Danio rerio: one gene and its partner. The protein of the gene in region 1 binds, or shares a complex with, the protein of each later gene. Links are inferred from orthologs where the notes say so. Each region holds a gene or a part of one and is shown in the gene's direction. Other genes may lie near its edges.

Evidence for each region.
Region 2: the proteins of dlc1 (region 1) and tns2a are in contact, whole or in part, in an NMR structure (PDB 2LOZ), measured with the Homo sapiens proteins. The link is inferred for Danio rerio from reciprocal best matches to the Homo sapiens genes DLC1 and TNS2. Residues at the interface, in NP_001335010.1 of Homo sapiens: Glu811, Asp812, His813, Lys814, Pro815, Gly816, Thr817, Phe818, Pro819, Ala821, Leu822, Thr823, Asn824; in NP_736610.2 of Homo sapiens: Asp1268, Leu1269, Leu1270, Arg1271, Gln1272, Gly1273, Ala1274, Ala1275, Cys1276, Lys1317, Ser1319, Ala1320, Gln1321, Thr1324, Leu1387, Asp1388, Pro1389, Asp1390, Gln1391, Val1403, Leu1404, Leu1405, Gly1406.

What each region holds. Positions count from the first base shown.
Region 1 is NC_133176.1:16,801,167-16,804,988, reverse strand, and holds part of dlc1 (rho GTPase-activating protein 7), read left to right. Parts: intron 1-259; coding exon 260-323; intron 324-1,856; coding exon 1,857-3,433; intron 3,434-3,822. UniProt on the Homo sapiens protein: Functions as a GTPase-activating protein for the small GTPases RHOA, RHOB, RHOC and CDC42, terminating their downstream signaling.
Region 2 is NC_133198.1:10,676,564-10,680,385, forward strand, and holds part of tns2a (tensin-2), read left to right. Parts: coding exon 1-57; intron 58-219; coding exon 220-336; intron 337-2,032; coding exon 2,033-3,487; intron 3,488-3,659; coding exon 3,660-3,813; intron 3,814-3,822. UniProt on the Homo sapiens protein: Tyrosine-protein phosphatase which regulates cell motility, proliferation and muscle-response to insulin. Phosphatase activity is mediated by binding to phosphatidylinositol-3,4,5-triphosphate (PtdIns(3,4,5)P3) via the SH2 domain.

The sequences.
Region 1 (3,822 bases):
CAGGCTTGACTGCCGCCTCTCTCATCTTCTTCTCATCATTTTCTGTCTTCTTCTGTATCTCTATCTCTTGCTCCACCCCCCTCACTCTCCCCTATCTCTTTCTGTCTCTGTCCAGGGATTTGACTCTGGAAAAGTCTGTTTGTTGGCTAATGACTGGATTTAGCCTTTGTTTGTGACCCCATGGTCCTTTTCAATGCATCTGCTTGAAAAAATGACTGTGACTGTTTTACTCACTTATCTGCATTTGTGTGTATTGCAGGAGACTGAACACCCTAAACAAGTGCGCTCTTATGAGATTAGAGATCACCCCTCAAAGAAAGAGAGTAAGTGTTTTGTCAGAAACCCCTTTCCCTTTATTTTGCTGAATTATTTCACTCTTATGTCCAGTCAGAAATCCTAAGAGCCTTAACCTTTTGTTTGCTTTGCATGATGGTTAATTATGAGGAAGTGCAGAATGTCCTAATTAAGGGTTGTCGTTAACTCCTCTCCTTCTTTTGATTTTCTTTACTCTTGTTTGTCATGTTTTTTCTCACAATGCGCATCCTAAAACCCCCTCAACACCATAAAAGGAAGAGAATGCACAGTCCGCCGCTTTGTCGGCGTGGTTTAAGAGCGAGTGTGTATAGTCTAAGACTGCCCCAAAGCCATGACTCAAACTACATGCAGGTCTAGAATGCAACAACAAACAAGCCAACTATGTAATCACAACAGGGAGCTTAGGAAGATAACCGTCATGTCTCACTGCGGCTTCTTTTTCTTGTTCTTAAAACTAGTAAGTCTGAACAATGACAGCTTTGTCAAGTGTGCGTCCTGTTAAGAAAGCTGATGACCCTTTAGTGTCATCTTGTGTTGATGGAGTCAAAGGTAGAGGTCAGGAGATGACTTGAGGAAGTGATCTGCCCTTTTCAAACATACAAGCAGAAACCATTCTTGGAATGCACTGATCTGTTCAGGTGGCCTCTCTAGAGTCCTCCTCTGTTCCTCATCTTCCTGTCCAAGCAGCTTATTTTAAAGTCAAAACCGTCTTTTTGAATTAATAGTGGATTTTGTGGTGGGCAGTGAAGAAACGTTGCACTCCAGGTCTTCGTTTCTTCTGATCAAAGGCTTGCCCTCAGGGGCCATAAAATAACAACCCAGGTTTTACGGACTTTCGTCGCCTCCGTTATTATGAACCGTGAAGGAGACACCTCTGGATCCCGCGACCCCCTGTTAACCGGCTAGCTAGTTTTGCTTTTGCTGATTAGTCAAGGCTCCAGGACAAAAAGTCTGTTCAACAGCTAAACTCATATCAACTAACTCAACTAGGTGCGATTGTCAACCAATTCTATATTTTAGGATTAACTAACTTTAGAAAATTATATAATTTTATTGGGCTGTAATCTATTCAGCTAAAGTTAATAACAGAGATCCAGCATTACAGCAAAACATGTATATGACACATCTAATTCCTTTGTCCAGAAGTCCATCACAGTATATGTTGTTCTCCAGGCTTGCTTGAGGTGATTGCATTGATGGGGGATGGGACCAGACCTGCCCTCTCAGGCTGGGGTGTGAACCCTGAGAGCTGGTCTGGAATTTTGTGTCCACCACCCCCTTCCTTCCATCCCTACCGCCCTGAGGGAGGAGATAGATTAACCCGAGTAAAGCAGAGAGGAGGAATGGTGTGCATGTGACTGTGCTGTGACATAGCTAAGCCAACCACAATAAAAGTTTTTTTTTTTTTTTTTTTTTTCAGTTAGTGGAACCAGGTTTCAGGAATATGACCTAGCTTGATCAATTCCTCATGAAATTAAGGAAATTAATCAGATCATGTTTGACACAATGTGTTGACATAACTGTTTTCCATATCGTTTCAGAGTGAAGACTCTGATGAGGATGAGCCATGTGCCATAAGTGGCCGTTGGACTTTCCAGCGAGACAGCAAGCGCTGGTCTCGCATGGACCAGCTGGACCTTGATGTATTCTCCCCTACTGCAGGGGACACTGGCTCCTTCGCTGCATTCCTATCCCAAGATGAGCATTTTGTTAGAGGGCCCCTTCAAAAGGAGGGTGTTAATGCCAGTGTGGAGAGCATCTTAACGGACCTTAGCGAGCAGCCAGAGGTGGGATCTCTGCATAGTACTGGTAGTGGAGGTCGAGGAGGATCACTGAGTACCACTGTACCATCCAGTCCTGCTACAACCATCTCCAATGCTAATACAGCCACCACAACAAGAGCAAGCTCAGTTGCCAGTGTCTGTTCTTCTGGAACATCAGGTGCCAATGAAGACTCCATGTCTGATGGGCTTCCATCGCCCCTGGAACGTGGTACCTTTGCTTTTGATGTAAAACCAAACTTGATAAGTAGTGCAGCTGAAAAAAGCACACGGTCAAGAGCAAAGAGCTTTTTAAAACGCATGGAAAGTTTACGTCTACGCACCAGTAGCAATGCAGGCTCCAAGCGCAAGAAGAAAGGTGTTCCTGGGCATGGTAGGTTGGAGATCAGTGGGCCAGTGCTTAAGGAGGGTCTTGATGAAGACAAGCTGCGTCGGCTCAACTGTGTTGACATCGCAACTCTGGATCGAAATGCAAACCGAAATCGAAGCATCTCCTATTCAACGCAAACAAGCAGTGGGAGTGCAGGGAGTAGCCAATCAGAAGCTAGCAGTGGGAGTGCTGTAAGTACGCCCAGTCCAGTTTCAAGAGCACGTAGTCACAGCACAGCAGCCGGGTCCAGCAAGAGAGGTGGGATGTACTTGGAAGGTTTTGACCCATTTAACTTTGTTGTGCTGCAACCTTCTGAAGACCAAGATGTAAAGGAGAACCATCAGACCCAAAATAAGAGGAAGGAGCCCAGCTCAACTGATGAGAACAATCGACGCAACCGTCAGAGTTCAGATAATAGGCAAATGGAGGATGAAGAGAGTCGCGTAGAGGAAGGAGGTGTGATCTTTTTCTATTTGCCTGAAGGCCACAAGCCTGGCACTTTTCCTAAAGCACTTGCGGATGGAGGATCCTATCATGGTGTTGACAACACAAGTCGCCGCCCACCCCGGAGGGGCTCTTCTGCTTCACTAGACAGTCGAATGAGTATCTATGATAATGTTCCTTTCTCGGAAGTGGGAGATGATGAGGACGAAGTAGGAGAGGAGGAACCAAAACTGGAGGATGTGTTAGAGCGAGTCAGAGGTCTGCAGCAACTGGTCAATGAATGGCCAGAAACAGGAATTGGGGAAGAGGAGGAGGATGAAGAGGAAGAGGAAGGAGATTCAGATTCAGCCCTTGACTCTGCATCTCCTTGTCCATCATCTCCACTGCAGAACCGCTTAGAAGAGACAGAGAATGGCAGCGACCAGGACAGCACTGGAAACCCATTAGCAGAAAGAGATGAGACACTCAGCTCACGTGAAAGATGTGACTCTGGAGTTGAAGCATCACTTACTCGAGCCAACAGGTAAAACTCATACATACACACAAACAGACACGCTAACCGAGTAGTCTTATGTTTTCTTATTGGCAATTCAACTAAACTATTCCTGTAGCAGTTTAAAGCTTTGGAAGAACTCTGTGGAAAGCTATCATGCCAATATAGCACATTGAATTAAGGCACAGGGAGGGAGTGAGAGAGCATGTCAGAACGGCTCTCCTTACATAACAAGGGATACTTGAAGGATACAGATTCCTAGTGGAATGCGCCACAGGAATTCTAACAGCCCCCACCTGGTGATAGAGGCCTTGATTAATCCCTGTTATCTGCAGCTGATCCTTTAGCTTGTGTTTATGTGTGTATACACAATATGTGCAAGTCAATGTACTTATTCACATTGCACTGTGTGCATGTGA
Region 2 (3,822 bases), on another chromosome or scaffold:
TTCCCCCTGATGCCATAGTGGAGTTTGTGTTTTCATCTGGGCCTGAGAAAATTAAAGGTAATGTAAAACTTTGCTCAAACTGCAGATGATCTTACTAACCTTTTAATTTCTCTTTCAGGGACCATGACATTGTTTGACAAATAGTTTTCTTCCTTGAGCTAATGTGCAGAATTTCCATTAAAATGACAGGGCCACATTATGTGTGTGTGTTTTATTCAGGGAGAGTGAGCCAAAGGAATGATCCAGCTGTCAGTGTGGACTATAACACAAATGATCCAGTGGTGCGCTGGGACTCATATGAGAACTTCAATCAGAGGCATCAGGACAGCCTAGAGGGTACTACTATTCATTCATACAACCACACACTGGTATTTATGCAAGCATTCAGAGGGAACGTACTGTTTTATAATACATTTGGCTTTTTAAAATAAATATATGCATTTGTTCAGCATGAAATTGTCTATAAAAGTTTTACTTTTGCAAAAGACTAATAATCTCATGTAAACCAGTTAGCTCAACACAATTACTAAGCAGTAGAACTGTTGAAATACTCCAGAATCAGAATACAAGAACGGTTTCTGAGAAATCATGGGAAAATGAGTAATAGCTGCTACAAATTCAGCCAGCATTTTATTAAATTACATTTTTAAAAAGCAATAAGGTAGAAAGCATGGTAACACTTTAGTTTAGTTCAGAACTTATGCTATTAACCACTGGCTTATTACCCGTCTGTTATTTCAATATTAAAAGTTCATTAGTAGTTATAAAGTATGATCTTATTCTGCTTCGCTAATCCTACCCAAAACCTAAACCTAACTTCTAGCTTGCTAACTAATAATAAACAGTTAATTAGTAGTGATGGGTCGTTCTTGATCGATTCGTTCATTTTAAGCAAATCTTTTGTCTGACTCAGGGAGGAGTCCTCTCAGGGAGTGATTTGTTTCATTTGCGCGTGTGCACATTTGTGCTGGTGGAGTAGAAAAATAGTTGCTTTTTCGAGTCTTCTTTCAAGTATCGTTTATCACATGAAAGACAGAAGCCAATTATATGCCTTTAGAGCCGGAAAAAGATTTGATCCGTTCATCTCTTGAGTATTTGATTTGCGTCCTTCGTTCATCACATGAAAGACAAAAGTCAATTGTATGCATTTAGAGTTGGAAAAAGATTTGATCCGTTCATCTCTCTGGTCCTCGATTTGAGTCCTTCATTCATCACGTGAAGGTTAGAAGCCAATCATATGCATTTAGTACTGGAAAAAGATTTGATCCGTTCATCTTTCGAGTCCTCGATTTGAGTCCTTCGTTCATCACATGAAAGACAGAAGCCAATCATATGCATTAAGAGCCGGAAGAAGATTTGATCCATTCATCTCTCGAGCCCTTGGGTTTGAGTCATCTCTTTTTACATGCTGTCATGTGACGTGATGAACGAATAATTTAAAAACCAGAAGACTCAAAAGGTGAACTAATCATGGCTTTATTCGGCTTGGACTGTGTTCTCTGGTTAAGCGTATATGGGACTGTCAGCACGACATGAACGAATCACTCTAGTTTGAAGACCTGTCAGAAAAGGTGAGCTGACATGTTTGTAGTGTGATCAACGTTCGAGCTTGTAGATGAGTTTGGAAGCAACTCGTAACATTTAATAATATTTTGGCAAATTGTACAAAATGACTCGAAAAAAAGATTCATTCATCTCAATGAACAAGACTCAAAGGTCAGAGTCAGTAAAATTATTGGAACTTCCCATTACTACTAATTAGTAGTTTATTAAACTAGTAGGGCTAGTTAATGGTTTATTATTACTGTGAATTGTAACCTAAAATAAAGTGTTACAGAAAACATTTAGTTTAATTTGTTTAATAGGTTGAAATAATATTTTACACTGATGTTTTTTACTATATTTTTAATTCAATAAATGTAGACTTTAAATTTCATAATGACTTAAAATTGTGGAATCAAAGTATATAAAGTATAGATTATTAAAATTATTTTATGCATCAAATATTGATCTTGCAATTACTTCTCTCCAGATATTGCTCATACACGTGGCCCTGTAGATGGCAGCTTGTATGCACAGGTTAAAAAGCGCCGCGCTGCTGCTGGCTGCTCCTCTCTGCCATCGACCAATGGAAGCCCTGCAAGAAGCTCTGAGGAAAGACCAAGTCAGCTTTTGTCTGTTAGCACTGATTCCGGACACTCATCTGTTCCTCCTGATCGACTCGATGAACCGACTCGACCGGCCCCGCCTACTCAGCAAGAGAGGGAGGAGCTTGAGCGGCTATTGGGTGGGATTGAAGGCGATGGACTGAGAGACCGTGACCGAGAGACGGCTATTTTGGATGATGGTGATTCCTTGCCTCCTGAAAGAACTGGGTCTCTGAGGTTAGGCCGTTCATGTTCTTGTCGTGTGGGTTACCGATCTCAGGGTTGTGCTGAGCCTGGATGTAATGGATTTCATCATTTACCCAATGGCCATTGCCTTGATCGGCCCACCACCACTAATGGACACACAGGGGCTCTGTCTCCAGGTATGTCATCTGTCATAGGACTTTGCCAACATCACAGCACCCATCCTCACCAATCCCTTCCTCCTCCAGACCTGCTCTGGGACCGCCAGCAAGGTCCACAGCACTACCTGCATCGCACTTGTTCAGAGGGACCATCTCGCCACCTGTATCCATATCCATCCCAAGAGATCAATTCTCATCCACACAGTCTGTCCCCCCGACTGCTTTGTAGACCAGATGAGTACATTTCATATCCTCACCATCATCACAATCATTCACACCATCCCAAACCCAGCGGACCCTACCATGATGTCATGATGATAGATGGCCTAGTGACACCCGGCTGCCCCTGTCGAGACTGTGCTCTACGACGAGAAGAGTTCCACACTTTACGTTTGGACAGAGAGGATGGAATACACTGGGAGAGAGAGGCAGAGCTTCACCGGGATAATGGGTTAAGACGGACAAGAGAGGCTGACATGCAGAGAGGGGCAGAGATATGGGAGCGGGAGCCAGGACTAAGGAGAGGAAGAGAGATGTCTCTTCACTGGGACAGAGACAGAGATGCAGAACTACAGTGGGAGAGAGAACGTGAGGCTGAATACTGGCACAGAAGGGCTACTGTATCCCCATACGGGCCCCACGGTCATGAATTACCTGCGTTTAATTTTGATCCACTCCCAGCAGGCCATCCTGCATACCCAGAACCCTCCCGCTCTCACTCTCATGCCCATCTGGATCTTAAATACAGCAGCAGCTCCAGTGGCTACCAGACACCACACCAGACGTGCCCTTGCTCCCCCTACCAGCCTTCACCCTCAGAGAGTCGAGGATATGCCTCGGGTTACCAGTCTGAGTCTACGTCTCCTCTTCCGCCTCCATCTGCCTCCTGCCCCGGCCCGGTGCACCATGCCAGTGGACCTACAGAAAACCAAACTGACCCCCATTCTCAGCATTTCACCTCTGACTCAAATACAGGTGAGGACTGGTAAAGTTGTTTCAGTTTAACTCTAATTAGTTATTGCAGAGTACTGGACTATTAGTGAAGCTTTTGAAAGCATGCTAAAAAGACTGTATATTTTTCGTCTGCATCCATTTTCATCTGTGCATGATCAAATTTATTTACAAGTCTTTACCCTATCATTATCAGATTGCCCTGGTGCAGATAGCATAGGATGGCGTAATCATATTACCCATGGATCCCTCCGGCGGATGCATCCACATGCTCCATATTCAACACCCTCTGATATTTCAGGACCTCCAACACCAGTCCACACAAGCAGCCCTTTACGAACCCAGGAAAGGTAATGTGC